Linked DNA regions of Drosophila melanogaster. The protein of the gene in region 1 interacts with the protein of each later gene in a pairwise test. Each region holds a gene or a part of one and is shown on either strand. Other genes may lie near its edges.

The links.
Region 2: the proteins of CG10300 (region 1) and CG11247 interact in a two-hybrid assay, tested with the Drosophila melanogaster proteins (one large-scale study listed by BioGRID).

Annotation. Positions count from the first base shown.
Region 1 is NT_033777.3:23,707,969-23,714,984, forward strand, and holds CG10300 (uncharacterized protein), read left to right. Parts: upstream 1-3,558; 5' UTR 3,559-3,589; coding exon 3,590-3,891; intron 3,892-4,125; coding exon 4,126-4,498; intron 4,499-4,567; coding exon 4,568-4,828; 3' UTR 4,829-4,977; coding exon of another isoform or gene 4,978-5,171; 3' UTR 5,172-5,227; coding exon of another isoform or gene 5,228-5,306; 3' UTR 5,307-5,345; downstream 5,346-7,016. Other genes in the region: CG10301 (uncharacterized protein), read left to right, coding at 2,190-2,482, 2,549-2,921, 3,037-3,291; nau (nautilus), read right to left, coding at 4,978-5,171, 5,228-5,306.
Region 2 is NT_037436.4:21,723,685-21,732,528, reverse strand, and holds CG11247 (uncharacterized protein), read left to right. Parts: upstream 1-3,722; 5' UTR 3,723-4,078; exon of another isoform or gene 4,079-4,136; 5' UTR 4,137-4,242; intron 4,243-5,591; 5' UTR 5,592-5,790; coding exon 5,791-6,366; intron 6,367-6,578; coding exon 6,579-6,974; intron 6,975-7,033; coding exon 7,034-7,630; 3' UTR 7,631-8,203; downstream 8,204-8,844. Other genes in the region: CG14569 (uncharacterized protein), read left to right, coding at 1,008-1,595; CG14570 (uncharacterized protein), read left to right, coding at 2,101-2,787; Polr2H (RNA polymerase II, I and III subunit H), read right to left, coding at 2,887-3,336.

The sequences.
Region 1 (7,016 bases):
AGTGGGGATGGGTCCAGCTGCCGCTGCCCAGAGGACCAATTGAGGCTCAAGTGACGGCGGCGCAACGGAAGCCAATAAATTGCGCTCAACAGGATGAGCAGGATAATGGATACGTGGAGATGGGGGACTCGACTCGCTACCAGGATGTAATGCCTGATATGCGGAGACAACGGAAATTTGTTTAAGCTGCTCAATTTGCCGGAACGCGTCTGTTTACAATGAAATTTCATTTGCCGTTTACTTTTCATGTTGTTTTTTTTTTTTATTTTTGGTGTTAGGGGGGGAGCTGGGGAACGGCAAAGTACAAACGTCATGCGTGTTCTATGTAGTATATAGGAACATATCTCGGATCAAGTTGAGTGACAACTGGCAGTCGAGCGGGAACTTATACGGCCAACCGAATATTATCTTTGGGCTAGCGTTGCGGTGTCTGGTCTATTTGTTCAATATGCTCTATAAATATGATTGTCAATTGAGCGCCAAGCAAATGCATTTTCCCATTTTCCTCGCATTTTCCCCGCATTTTCCGCTCTCTCTCTCTCGCACTTAGAGCACAAAATGGGGCGTTTTATGTAAGTCTATAAATTAAAACATGAAACGCTTATAAATCCATATGACTGCTGGTTGTGGCAGCAATGCACTTTCTTTTTTGATTTGATAAAATTTTCAAAAGCATTATTAACTTTGCATTTATATTATATTTTTAAATATTCAATAATTAAAATTAATTGTGAGCAAATAGTATGTGAGTGAATGCACAATTATCTTAACCACACAAAATGGCTTAAAATAAACACGAAACTATGAAGAATTTTACATTTATTATATTATTATATATATTAAAAATTTAGTAATTATTTTTTTTTATGTATGTAATTAAGCAGTGTTCTTAAGTACAAAGGTCCTTCTGCAGACTGATTTAGCCGTCAGTAAGACAATCACTGGGTTATTAATCCCATACCCTTTTGTGTCAAGATTTTCAGCGATTCCTTGGGGCATCCATCACTTGCCTCAAGTGCAGCATATGCATTCCGGGGGTTTGGTTGCATATCTGAAGTGCTTACAACAAAATACACTTATCAGCAATGAGTGTGTCAATTACATGCCGCCACACCCTCACCCTTTCTCAACATAGGAAAGCAGTGGCAACATTGGGCAATGTGTTGAGTGCGATGATGCAGTGCAGCGAGCTGTTAATGAGGCTCATTATTAATATGGCAACGATATGTTTGCGTCATGAGCAATGAGCTGGCTGCAAAGGGAATTTACACGCGCTGCCCTGTCAGCAGCAAGATCAAAGCACAGCCTCCACTGGATGTACTCACTCCAAATCCTCCCTAGTCCCAGTCCCATGGCCATAATGTGTTATGAGTTATTGACGGAGTGGGTAGATGATCCGCTTCCTGGGAGCCCAGATCGCCAATTCCACAGTTGTACAGATCTCCAGCTCTCCGGCTTGTCAGCAGCTGACAGCGCCATGTCATAGCAATTTGCCCGGCTGTAGGTGTTCCATGTCAACTCCAACGGCACATCGCCACCTACCCGGGATGTCGGTGTGTAATGCCCTCTGACAGGCAGGCACTCAAATTGAATACTCAATGCTCACAGCACGGACGACCGACGAACTGGATACCATTTAGCGTTAGATTTATTTCGGGCATTAAACGCAGATCGCATTTCAAAAGACGGTACTCTGGTACACTAACAAAAATGGGGACAAATTGAAGGCTGAAGTGAAAATATTGATGCCACAATAGATGGCACGCACATTTGTAAAATAAAATATGTATTTGAATGTAAGTATATAAGTTCATACTCATTTCTTCTGGATAACATTCCACACTAATTTATTCTCAGTGCATCTGCAACCATTTCCCAAATGCACACGAGATGGGCACTTAAGAGATCTCCAGGCGCCGGATGTGCGCTATTTTTCCCATATATAGTACATGTCACTCTCTCCCAAACATACTTACATATCCGAATCCCATTTTCCGAGCTGGAAAAAAGTGCAAGTTACAAATGCGTATAGATAAGCATAGACCATCATGCAGCGGTCGTATTTTCCCAATCCGATTCGCCTCGGCGATAAGATTAGATTAGGGGGCCACCCACCACCAGATGGGGGAGCACGGATAGGCAAATTAGATGGCCCAAATGCCATCAAACACCGCATAGCCGTTACCAAAATGCGACGTCCGCTCTCGCCGACATTGGCCAAGTTGGCCGAGCAGGAGGTGAACGAGACGCCCGACAGGATTCAGCAGGATATTATCATCCTGCGCGTGTGGATTCGCCAGCAGCCGCATCTGCGCGCCCGCACAGATGTGGACTTCCTGATCGCCTTCCTCAGACGCTGCCGTTACAGCCTGGAGGAGACCAAGCGCCGGATCGATCGCTACTTCACCCACTACAATCTATTTCCGGAGATCATGAATAACCGCTGTGTGACTCAAAGACTTCTGGACATCAATCGGATGGGGTGAGCTAATGTTATTCCAACATTTGAAGTTAGTCATTTATCTTAAGACGCTGGTTTTGCTCTTAGAGTTTGTCTCTATCCGGATATGCCAAAGGGTGATAGCCGTAGTGCCATGTTTATAGCCCGTTTCGGTCATTTCGATCCCAATTTGTACATGCTGCGGGAGATCTATCATTTTTCGTCGATGGCCATGGAGGTGATTGCGCTGGAGAATGACTATGCCAGCTTGGCGGGAATCTGCGAAATAATTGACCTCGAGGGCGTCAACTCGGATAAGATGCGACGCTTTGATAGGGTTCTATTTCGCAAATGGTGGAACTGGCTCTACAATTGCAGCCCCCTTAAAGTGAAGGAGATGTATATCATAAATATGCCCAAGGATATTCAGGGTACCGTCATGTTTCTGTACAACGTGCTTAGCATGCAAGTCAACTATCCGGTGGGTATTGATAACTTAATCAGCAAGTTATCACCTTCGTGATAAAATTGTTTTTATAAAGTAACCATTAGAGATTCAGTACCAATTAAGGCTAGATATGTTTATCTTATTTCAGATACGCGTGCTGAAGAACAGCGAAGAGCTAATCGAGCACATTGGCAAGGAATCGCTGCCGGAGGAGTATGGCGGTACCAATGGACATTTGGGTGAATGTGTGGCCTACATGGAGGACCTGTTGAATAGCTATCGTGGTTATTTCGAGCAGGACTGCAACTACGGGACCATTGAGGAGCTGCGGCACGGCGAAATAGCCACATATGAGGCGGAATTTGGAGCCAATGGCTCCTTCCGTCGTCTCAATTGGGATTGATACCAGCACGGAAGCAGGAAACCTAGACCCTCCCTCCCACAATAGCGTTTATCCATATAAACATTCCAAACTCTGCTGTAGTCGATCAATTAAAGATAACACCCACTTATCAACTATCTATGCACTCGTGTATCTATATCTAACTGACTGCCGACGGGTTTCGGCTCGCCGTTCCAGCTAGTTTACAAGGTGTTGCCCCGATTAGATAAGCGATGCCGCCGCAAAAGCCAATACCATCACTACCACGGCGCTGCGTCAGTGGTTTTGGCATTCAGTTACTAATGAACCGAGCGCCGGAATGGCGAACACCCTGAGAACTCTCGACCCAAAGTTGGCGGCTCTGGCCAAAAGTGAGTGCAACGAGGAGCAGGCGCAGCGAGCGGAGATTATTGCCACCATTAAGACATGGATCACCAAGTCGCCGCACCTTAAGGCGCCCACGGATGAGCAGCTTATCCTGGCCTTTCTGCGGCGTTGCCGTTTCAGCCAGGAGGAGACCAAACGGCGATTCGACAACTACTACTCCCTGCGCAGCGTGTTCCCGGAGGTTCTGGGATCCCGACAGGTGGACGAGGCCCTGCTCACCCAGTTGCAACGCGGGTGGGTTGAATGTTCCATTTGCTATATACCCTTTTTGCCTTAGGCTGCTAAATATTTCACAAAACCATACAGAATACAGCTTTCTAATCAGTGGTGTTAAACGTAACAAACATTATCAATAATAATTTATTCACTATCTATGTGAATTTCTGACTGGAAATTAGTTGCGTGTTACGAAAGACCTATGTTAAGAAGGTAAAGATACTTTATTTAATTTCTATTTCGAATTAACAGAATCCATGTGATACCCATGCGACCTGTGAGTCCCGAGGGGCCAAGGGTTATCATCTCGCAGTTCCGAAACATCGATCCCAAGAAATCGAATCCCCGCGAAGCCTTCAAACTGATCTTCATAATGTTGGAACTATTGGCTTTGGAGTGCGATAATGCCGCGATTTCCGGCTTGATCTGGGTTGTGGATGCCAGAGATGTTACCATGGAGCAGATGATGCAGTACGATCCCTTCCTGCTGAAGAAGGCATTTGCTCTGGTGGACCAATGCATACCACTGCGATTTGTTGAGATTCATATGATCAATATGCGCAAGGAGGGACAAACCATATTCAATTTTGTAACGAAGTTTTTGCCCTCCAAACTGCCTTTCAAGGTGAATCTATCATCAAAAAGCTTGAATTGCGTTAGGATTGGTAATTAATCTCTACAATATTCTACACAGTTCGTGGTCCACAAAAAGTCGGAGGATCTGTACCAGCACCTGCCCAGAGATGTGATGACCATCGAGTATGGTGGCACCAATGGCTATCAGGCAGAGGCAGTGGATCATTGGCGCCAGAAGCTGCTGGACAGCAAGGATTATCTGGCCAAGGATGCCCAGTATGGTACTAATGAGAAACTGCGCGTCGGATTGGCCAGTGCCTGGGCCAATGGAGAACTGGACGGGATGAGCGGTTCCTTCCGCAAATTGGAGCTAGATTAAGTAAGACGACTCTAGTTGCTGTTTTGAATTACCATTTAATTAAGTTCTAATGCTATACAAATAATTTAAGGCCTATTCGGGTCACTGGGTATCTCGTGTATCCTCTTAAAAATAGCTTTACAATTGCCTAAGGTGCTGATACTTAAGTGCTAAGTGCTGCACTTCCGTTTGAAGTTCACGTGCAGAGAAGTGGGTGCAGTTGCTCCGGATGAGGGCGGCGATTGGGTATCTGAAGCGGAGGGCGTGGCCTTATTTTGAATGGGACTCGTGGTGCTCTTATTGATGCTCTGAACAATCAGATTTAGACAGTCCAAACTGGAGCCATTGGCATTGCCATCAAAGTCTATACAAAAATATTTTAGATAAATACATCAAATACTTTTTTTTTTTTACTTTTACCTGTAAACTGACCATATTTCTCCATATGTTTGTTGTAAAAACTAAGTTTATCTTCTAGATAAGCGCCAGCATAGGAGCTCTGCAAGGAAAAACATAAATAAATACAAATGGAAAAATCATATATTTTTTTTTTAGTTGGCCTCAAGCGAAATTGGGGAAACAATAAATTACAGAAAAGTGTCGCCGTCGAAATGACAACGTCAAATTTGCTCCGGTCCTGTCAACTTGGCCAACGAGTGCCATACAGAATGCAGTCTAATGATGAGATTAAGCCAAAATTTATGCCAGTAAAGAGATTCCACAGGCCAATTAAAACGCATTGAACCACCGCACCACACCCATTGTCTGCCCCAACATTGTGGGGCATTGTGTGCAGTGCACTTTAGAGGCAATTAAATTAATTTTGCGCATACGCAGACGACAGACAAGGCATCCGGAGATTCGGTCGGGATTTCATTAGAAAAATTCGCTATAACGCCGATGCTAAGCAAATTATAATTGCCACTTCTGGGTGGGTTTCCTTGCTGCCCCCCCCCCCCCCCCAAATCCGCATCTGGTGCATCCAAAGTGCCGTCACTTCGTCTGCAAGGATCGACAAATACAGGGCATCCCGTATGGCTTATATGTATGTACGTCTGTTTATATTTAGCGGACAACAAAGTACGGAGTGATAAAACAACAGAATAGCATTCAAAGCCGAGTGAAGTGAACTAAACTGAACGAGAGCAGATGAACTCACACTGCACTTTTATAAAGCGATTTATCATTTTTTTCAAGCGTTTAGTGACAGCCTGCGCTCGATATGCCGCAGTCAGCAAGCGGATACACTGGGAAAAATTACACAAAAATAGCACAACTGGGTTAAAAGCAATAAAGTCTATTTATATGACAATATAATACCGAATATTGAAAAATTTCTTTGGAAATAAATTCTCAATTTAACAAGCATGTTCGAAATATATTTTTAGACATGCCCGACTTCTTTCTGTGTACTTGTTTGCAGGTCTTTATGGTATTTCGGTGTATTTTATTTTATTTTTTTTTTTTTGAGCATATATCATGCGTTGTATCTGAATGAAATGCCACTTATCACTTGGGCATTCCGATTCTTCGGTTGCGTAAAGATTTTAAGCCGCTTTTTGGCGCGTTCCCCTTAGATGTTCTCCTCCGATCTGTGAGCGTGTAACGGATATGCGGCATTATGCGATTTGTTAGCCATAAGTTGCATGAGTTTTTACCATGAAATATGCTTTTAATATACTAAACCCACTTTAAAAATATTGCCACTTCTCTGCGAGTTGTGCGGTCAGTCGTAAGATCTCATAATCCATTTCGGAAATATCACCGAAAAAATGCAAGAACTACTTGCCAGATATGTATTTACATTTTTAATAAGATGCAAATAATGTTGATGTTTATTTTCGGAATTATTTAATCAATCTTTCTCGGAAACTGAAAAAGTTACTTTTTGAAACGGGGACGTGTGATAAAGATTATCAGTGGTGGTTAGACCATAAAAATCACACCAATTATCTCTTCTCAATAATTTGCAATATCATTTATAAACTGCTTTCCATTCGTAGAAAATATCTAATAGTGTAGCTGTAAAGCTATTCAAAGATAACAAAAGTTTTCGGTAGCATATCTGTACCTGATAATAGTTTAAAAACTGAATGGTAGGGAATCCGATCAATCCTGACTCACTGTCCAAATGGATGGTTTGCACCCACGTTACCCACATCTTTCCGTGAGTCATTTGCACCGAAAAGCTCTATCTTAAGACTTCAAT
Region 2 (8,844 bases), on another chromosome or scaffold:
TACTCAGCTAGTGGAAATGCGAACGCGAACTTGCATACTTTTCCTGGAATATCGATAGATATTGGTGAATAAAATGCGTTGCATAAACTTTTTTGTCAATCAACAGAAATTTACAAGACTAATAAAAATATGCAAAATGTCAAAACAATTTGCAAACGTGTGGGCGTTGCAGTTTTGTGTGGTTCGTGGGCGTTAGAGTGGGCGTTTCTCTAGAAGCTGTGAGCTGTAAGCTGTAAGCTTAATCTCAACCCTCTAGCTTTTATAGTTCCCGAGATCGAGACGTTCATACGGACAGACGGGCATGGCCAGATCGACTCGGCTATTGATCCTGATCATATATGTATATACTTTATATGGTCGGAAAAGTTTCCTGTTACATAATTTTCAACACATCTTACTCTACGAGTAAGGAGTATGAATACTATATTTTTTAACCCGATTTTCACTTACCATGATAAAAACTCAAAGCTCAGAATATAATAATTTTTGGTAAGGCAAATGAGTGTTCCAAAAGCCAAGCTAATAGTAAATAACATTGTTTTTGAATTCGATCGACCCTGATTGAAACTGTCCAAATGTTGCAAATGGGTGGGACGTGCTTTTAAAAGTGCGTGCTTGATGGATTTTTTCACAGCCTATTCTGTTTTGCATGAATACAAAGTTCATCAAATAAAATTATGAACTGCCAAGAACCCAAAACCAAACAAACTCGAGTGTTCACAGCTCACTCCAAGTGTTAATGAATGATTTGCGAAGGAGGGAAAGGGTGGCCTATTCCAAATCATAGCATTGGAAAATCAATTTCGAAAAAGGGTCACGTATCGGGTATTAAGCTGAAGCTACATTGCCGCCGATCAGCGCAACATAATCAAAGTTTTACCGGGAATAAGAGCCTGAAACTGAAAGTGACGAGCATAAATTATAGCAGAATTCGATCTGGTAGCTTGGGGCTATAAATACGTCGTGTCGGATCGAGAAATCAGAACAGAAGCCCTTCAACCGCGAAAATGTTTAAACCGACTGGCGCACCAATTGCTATTCTTGTCCTGAGCCTGTTGGCGCTGAGCTCCGCGGAGCCGATCCGCCGGAGGTTCTTGGCGCGCCAAGTGGAGGCTATACCCAGTCCTTCGCCCACCGGATATCCGGAGGCGGGCATCACCCCGAGTGTTCCCTTCGATTTACCCAGTTCGACTGTCAAGCCGGAGAACACTTATCTGCCGCCTGATAACACCTATGGACCTCCGGACAACACATACGGGCCACCAGATAACACTTATGGACCTCCAGAGACCGACTCCGTGCCGGCTATTGCTCCCGAGGCTGAGCCGCTACCAGAGAATCCCATCGAGACTGATGATATTCCAGAGACTGAGGAAGCATCGGTTGACGGTGCCAAGCTGCAGCCCGCTGATGAGGACGCCGAGGAGGATGAACCGCAGCTGGATGTTGCTGAGGATGGCACTGTGATCGTTGTAGCTAGCAGTCTTGACCAGCCACAGTCCGTCCAGTCCGCCCGACTCTACCAGCGATTTCCGCAAGGACGGCGTTCCCAGAGGCCCGTTCCTCAGCGTCTAATCCTGCGTCGCAGTTGGTAGACTTTAAAACTTTAGCGTAAGCAAATACGTCACTGCGTCAGACTTAAGGAAATATCATACAGGCAAAGACTCTAGAATAATTATTCTAGTGTCTTTGATACAGGGCTGGAATCTATTCTAACGATATCATGCACTCACCGTACACAGAAAATATATTTACAAAATATTACTTACAAAATTCAATTTAAAATGAAATCCATACTGAAACTAATAGGAAAGCGTTATATTTATTATTTTTTTTATTCCTGTGTAAAAATAATATACAATTATTTTGTATAAGCACTCCCTTTTAAAGAAATCTAACCACACATTTTCATAACAGCCAGTACTTACACGCGCCTTAGTCACCACCTCCATGGGCACGTATCGTTGGACCTGGCTTATAAGTCATCGGCCTCGAGGTTTCTTCGGGCGTTTGAATTGGGCAGTTCCCAAGGGCATTCCTAGGGGGTATTTATAGGCGCCACTTAGCCGCCCATGCAGCAGTTCATGTCAGCACACCACAATGTCCGGTTATCCAAGTGCTTCTCTGGTCACCTTTGCGCTTTGTTCCATTCTTTGCCTGAATGGAATTGAAGGCAGTCATCTGAGGTTCCCAGGACCCGCGGCGGGAAGGTTTCTGCAAAGACAGGAACAAGCCCCATATCCACCAGCAGGCCTGGTCCCCGATCCGCCATTCGACCTGCCAACGGAGGAGGCGGTTGAATTTCCTCAACCGGAGGATACATATGGCCCTCCACCTGAAACATACGGACCACCGTCTTTGGTGGAAGCGCCAGCTGAGGTCTACGGCCCACCGGACCAAATTTATGGACCTCCCGATCAGACCTACGGACCTCCAGACCAGCCAGCCAATGATGACAGCTCCAACACATTGCCACAAAGCGCAGCTATAATTAATTTGGCAAGTCTGCCGCTACCACCCCAGGCTCAGTATGTTCTGCCGCTTCTGAACCGACTTTCTGCCTTCCGCCCGCAGCGTCCGGTTCTGCGGACTCCGCAGCGACGGCCGGCTAAGCTTACGGTTCGTCGTCGGCCAGATGCGGTCAAGATTGTGAATGCTATTAGGCCTACTCCAGTGTTCCCATCGACTCCGCAGGCTTTGCCCTTCGTGGATCGCCACATTCCTTTTCGCCCACGGCCATCTCGCCTGATAGTCAATGCGCCTTTCAGACGCCCATCCAGGCAATAGACTACTTCTTTCAGCACTCCAAGCAATGTCATGAATACACTGTAAATAAAGTTTGTTGTCTATGTCTAATTTGCGATCGAAAATAATTAGGTAGAAAATTCAGAAGGCCAGCCGCTTCATCAGCAGGTACATGTGCTGGTCCACCTCGAAGCCATGAAGATTGTTGGCGTCACCCTGAAGTCGCATCAGCAAGCCGCCGAATGACACGTAGGCGGAGAGCCGGGAGGCCTCATTGTGTGCTTCGTCGCCCTCGATCCTGTAGATCTTGCCGTACATCACGTACTCAAAGCTGTCCGCCCGCGTTCCCTCGTGCTCCATTGGATTGTACTCCCCGCTGTCCGGGCAACCATCCTCGCGCAGGGTGGTGGCCAAAACCAGGCGGAACTTGTCGCCCAGCTCCATGGGGTATAGCCACGAGTTGATGTCCAGGATGAGGTCCATCTTAAACGACTCGGACTCGCAGTGCAGGCGGGATACACGGTCGAACTTTTTGCCCTCCGGATCCATGTCCTTTACGTTGAAGATGTCCTCAAAGAGTACTCCAGCCATTTTAACTGAAATGTAGTATTTGATGAGTTATTGCTTTGAAGTCAGTTTAGTGGAGCTCCAAAAACGCACGCCTTACCTTGAGTCGGCTAATTAGATTTTATACGTATTTGATCTTATATGCGGAGGTAAATGCGTGTTCTTTTATGAACTGGGTTTATATCAGCAGAATTTTATTATATTTAAACTGTTAGCGACTAATATTTATTTCTTAAATATTTTGCATGCGCGTGTTAAGTATGAGAGATGCCAGATCTTTCTGGCGGCTTGAGTGTTGCCACACGTCTGCGATTTCAGTGAGCAAAGTGGTCACGTTCAGCAGGCTGTGATTTCAGTGTGTAAAAGAAGTCACGTTCAACAAAGTGTGCCTCACTTTGTTCTTACTGAAATTTCAATAAATATTGCAGTGATACTGCGCAATGTGATTTTTAACTTATTTATAACTTATTGCGCCGCAACCTACACGTTATTGGATTTTCTCTAACTAGTGACTGTGCATCACGCTCCCATCTGTGGCCGCGCAGACAGAGAGTCCCAGTGTGACCGTCTATCGGTGAATACACATCACTAACATTAAGAACAACATCGAAAAACCACCGAAAACTGTTATTTATTTTGCTGGACAAAACGCAGTATTGGCTTAGAATCGGCAAACCCGCAAAGTCCCACAAAGGTTAAGCCGCAGGCAGCACGATGGATACACCTTGAGGAGCCAGTCGGACTGCCACCTAGCGGATTGCAAAAAGTATGTACACACAGCTCGTGGTGTCGAAATTAAAAACAAATAAGAAGCGAACTCATAGTCGGACGCGGAATGCATAGGAAGTCCAGGTGTGTCCCATTCGGGGTGATGCTAAGTTTCCTGTGGATCGAAGGCCCTTAGCCTAGCGACTCCTGCTTTTTGCGAAGGTAAGTCCACGCCCGGTGGGGCTTTGGTGTTGGTGTTGAATGTGGAGCCCCTGGGCCAAATGTGTAGCATATGTGTATAATGGATTGCTTTACGTATATGAGTGCTGTGGTGCTGGTTCATTAATTACTAACAATCGGTTGCAAGACCCCGAAAACTACACAGTCGTCGAGTTTTGTGCCCCGAATACGAAAGACTTCAACGGCCCCTACCCTCATCCAGCGACCGCCGCCGCCTTAACCCTTACCCACCCCCATAACCCCGCCTATTTAGCATTACAAAACTGCTGTTATGTATTCACTTCTTTATTTTCGCTTTTTGTGTGTGATTTTCGCTGTCGTTCGTGCTTTTTGCCCTGTTCTCTTTCAATTTCGATTCCCAGCTGCGGATTCTAGCTTAAATTCGCTTTTTCAACAGTTTGGTCGAGGGCCGTTGTGCTGCTAAAGTGAGTTAGTTTTCAGCTTCTGCGGGTGCGGCTCTAATGAACCATTAACCCTCCGCAGGGGGAGGGGGTTGCTTGGCACTGGAATCGGAATCGGAGGGTTCCCAATCTGCTTGCCAGATGTTCGTCCCAGCCCAGGGTCATCGTAATCGCTCTCTTGCAGTTGCATTTTCAGTGTTCTCGCTTTTCATTGGAAACTCCGCCGCCTCGGAGAACAGACGCCGCGGGATCGAAAACGCTCAGGTTGCACAGCTTTATCTCGATATCTTTTTATAGCTCTACCGTGATTTTAGTGAAAGCGGTGGATTGCTTATCAGTTGTTGCCTTCCTCGGGATCTTATCAGGCGGTTTCTCCATCTCGCTCCCGCCCAAACAAAAGATTAAGACAACAAACTAAGAATTTTTTTTGGAAGCTTACGTTCGCTGGAAATGTCAATTGATAATGCGACCCACTTCAAGACTTGGGCTCCTAGCTCTGTACACCGTGAAAAACAGTCCACAACCTTCCGTTGTTAACTAGATTTGTAAAGAAACGAATATATTTTCTAATTGGATAGCCAATGAATTGCAATTAATTAATTAATTATGATAAACAACGTCTAAAAATCTCAAGTGATTTCGACAACACTGCAAAAATAGTAAGAACTATTGCATTAACGTAAAAAGTGCCATGCTTTTCGAAGCCCCTAAATATGCAAATCCACCAATTTTGGTAATATTTTTCCTGTGCATAGGTCTTATCACTGTTGACACAGCTGGAGTTTCTGTTCCGTTGCTGTTTCTCTTCTTGTTTCTGTTTCGGCTTCACTTGCGGTTACTATTTCTGTCTGTGTTTTTGATTCTCCGTCTGCTTCGGAACGTGGCGCTCGGCGAGTGGAGAATTAAAACAGCTCTTAACTTTTTTTGCAGCCCATCTGAACTAATCCAAACCAAAGGTGAATGGGAACTATCCTAGAAGTAGCAATCGAACCAAAAAATACGAATACCCTAAATTACATACGTAGAACATTAACCCTAGAAGTAAAGACAAACGCAGCAGGTGCCGGTGTTTCCCAGGAAGCGGTCCCCAGAAATTTAGTTACGAATCCAAATAATAAAAACCAAACAAATGGTACGCAGCCGTCGTAGTGTGTCCAAGGAGGATGCCGTCTCTCTGCTCACAGACAGCGGCATATCGCTGTCTTCGCCGCCGGCGGCGAGGGAATCCTCACCAGGCCCTACGCTTGCGATCAAAAGGAGGAAGAGCAGCTTGGCAAGTCTGCGCGATGCTTGTGTGGACGAGGAGGAGGACGACGGCGGAGAGCAGGACTCAAAGGATGATGATTACGTGCAACCGCAGCTTAAGAAGTCTGCCCGAAAGGGCGAACCGGTGAAACGCAAGCACCATGTCTGCAGTCAATGCTCCAAAGAGTTCGGTGGCAAGACGGATCTGCAGCGCCACATGCTTATCCACTCGGACGAACGACCGCACAAGTGCAAGGATTGTGGCAAGAGCTACCGCCAGGCGGTCAACCTGAAAAATCATATCACCACCGCCCACGAGCATCGGAAACAGTTCGTTTGTTCCCAGTGCCCAAAATCATTCGCCCTCAAGGAGCGCCTGCGGCTCCACATGCGCCTCCACTCTGGCGAGAAGCCCTATCCTTGCGACCTCTGCGACAAAAAATTCGCCCGAGGAGGTCAAGTGAGTAATACGACATTCCATTTTTAACTGAGATTTAACAATTAATTTTATATTTTTCTCATAATTTGATTTATTATAAACTTAAATAATAATATTTATTATAATAATTAAATATAAATAAGTGTATTTAATAATGAACTTTCTATTAGGCTTTTGTTTTTATAGGTCTTAACCATTGGTGTTCCTAATATATATTATCATTTATATTGCAGCTGCAACAGCACATGGTTTCTCACCACAAGACGAGTATCCAGCAGTTCAACTGCACTAAGTGCTCGGCCAGCTTCTCAACCAACGCCAATTTACGGGTGCACATGGAGCGACACGAGCAGGGCATGGAGCACCGGTGCAGCATCTGTGAGAACCAATTCGCCAACGAGCTGGCCCTGCGAGCGCACATAAACCAGGAGCACCACAAGCTGACGCAATTTGAGTGCGAGATATGCCATAAGATGATCGAGCCGGACGAGGATTTGGCCACTCACATGCAGAGGCACACCGCTGTTAAGACCCACGTCTGCGAGGTGTGCAACACATATTTCACCCAGAAAAGCCAGTACAATGTCCATATGCGAATGCACACGGGAGAGCGCCCCTATCAGTGTAGGGTAAGTTGAAAGGGTGTTAGCTTGCATGCAGCCGTAAATTATGTTTCTACTTCCATCAGATCTGCCACCAGACCTTTGCCCATTCAAGCGTACTAAAACTGCACATCCGAAAGCATACGGGGGAAAAACCCTTTCGCTGCCAGCTGTGCGAAGACGAAGTAGCCTTTTCTCAGCTGGCGCACCTAAAGAACCACATGAAGAAGATACACAAACAGCAAAAGCCCTACATGTGCGAAGGCTGCCACGATTTCTTTAAGATCAAGGTGGAGCTGCAGTCGCATGTTGAGCACTGCGCCAAGTGTCCAGTTGACGGGGACAAACCCAGTGGCAATCAGTCTGAAGATGCGCAAATTCTCTCTGTCTTAAGATTTAACATGGCAGTGGTACTGAAGAAAATTAGCTCCGCTCAAAAGCTGCGCCAGTTGGGCTACGAGAAGCGTCTAATCGATAACGTTATCATTGCATCCTTGAAGCTGGCTCAGCGACAATCCCATGACGACGCCACGATGACCCCATTGGCCAGACTCCGGCTAAATGTGGAGGAATTTCTTAAGTGGATTGTGCCAGCCCCCACTATGCAGAAATTCAGCGACGAATTGTTGTCTATAGACACGATTCTTGAGAAAATTGCTACCATGTATATGAAACAGAAGTAGAATCCAGGAGTTGATAGCCAACGCCAAATGCGAGTGTGCCATAGAAGAAGGATTTGTAGAACTAGTTCTTGCCATTTAGTTTAGTGTTTAGTAACCCAAAGTTGCAGAACGAAACCCAACCAAATAATTTATCCCAAAGATATATACTTTGTAGTACAGGTCATTTTAATGAATTACTACCCTTAATCCCAATTTTGCTGCTACCAAAAAGTATAATTTGAAGAATGTATGAGTTAGTGTTGTCATAATAATTTCCCTATTAAAGGAAATTAGTTTAAGAACGAATTTCGATGCAATAATTTATAAAATAATAGGCATAACACGATTGAAACCTGAAATATTTTTGTATGCTTAGTCTTGCCAGAGCAACAGATTGTCCCGGAGTGAATCTATAACAGCTCAAGTACAATACAACTCATTGTGGCCATGCTTGTAAAATTAATAAGCTTAATGCATTTAGTTGCCATTTGTCTTTTCCAACAAAAGTGCAAAATCTGAAGTGTACAACTGAAATGCAAATCAAAATACGCAAGTGAAAAAATGAAATGAATAATAAATATTATTTGTGACTACAACCCAACACTGGATATTAGTTTTTCGGACTTTTTAATCATGAAACAATTTGCAGCAAGTATTATTTTCGCTTATTTTTAAGATTTCGTAAGTCTGCGAGCTTACGTAAGAGTTAGAGAAAGTTTATGAGAACGAATGATAAAAAGAACACATTCCCTTAACTAAGAGTGAGCACGTCCACTATCCCACAAAGCTGCTCCCACACTTTTGAATATATTAATATTAATTTAATAATTTTGGTTTTTATTATTATTATTGAAAGTTTCTATGTTTATTCCAAAAGGATTTTGGCCGTCTACAACAAATGGCAAAGGCCTTACATATTATTTCAGTCAACTTTCGATCTTGCTGTAGCTGGTGTCTGGAAGTTGAGGATCTCGACTAGCATCTTAGGAAGCGACACGGCTTGAATCAATCAATTTTCTGCATCTCCTGGCTTGCGTGCCTTTGACCTTTGAGGCTCATCTATGGAATTTCAAGTCCGGCTGGAAGCTGCATTCCATATTTGAATGCGGCCAAAAGAGCAACGAGTCGCACAGAAACACCCAGGCACACCCAACCGGGCTGGCATCTAACCACATAAACAGTTAGGTACAAGTGCCCCATGGGTCCCTGCCCGTTGGCCATAAATGGTCTGGGCT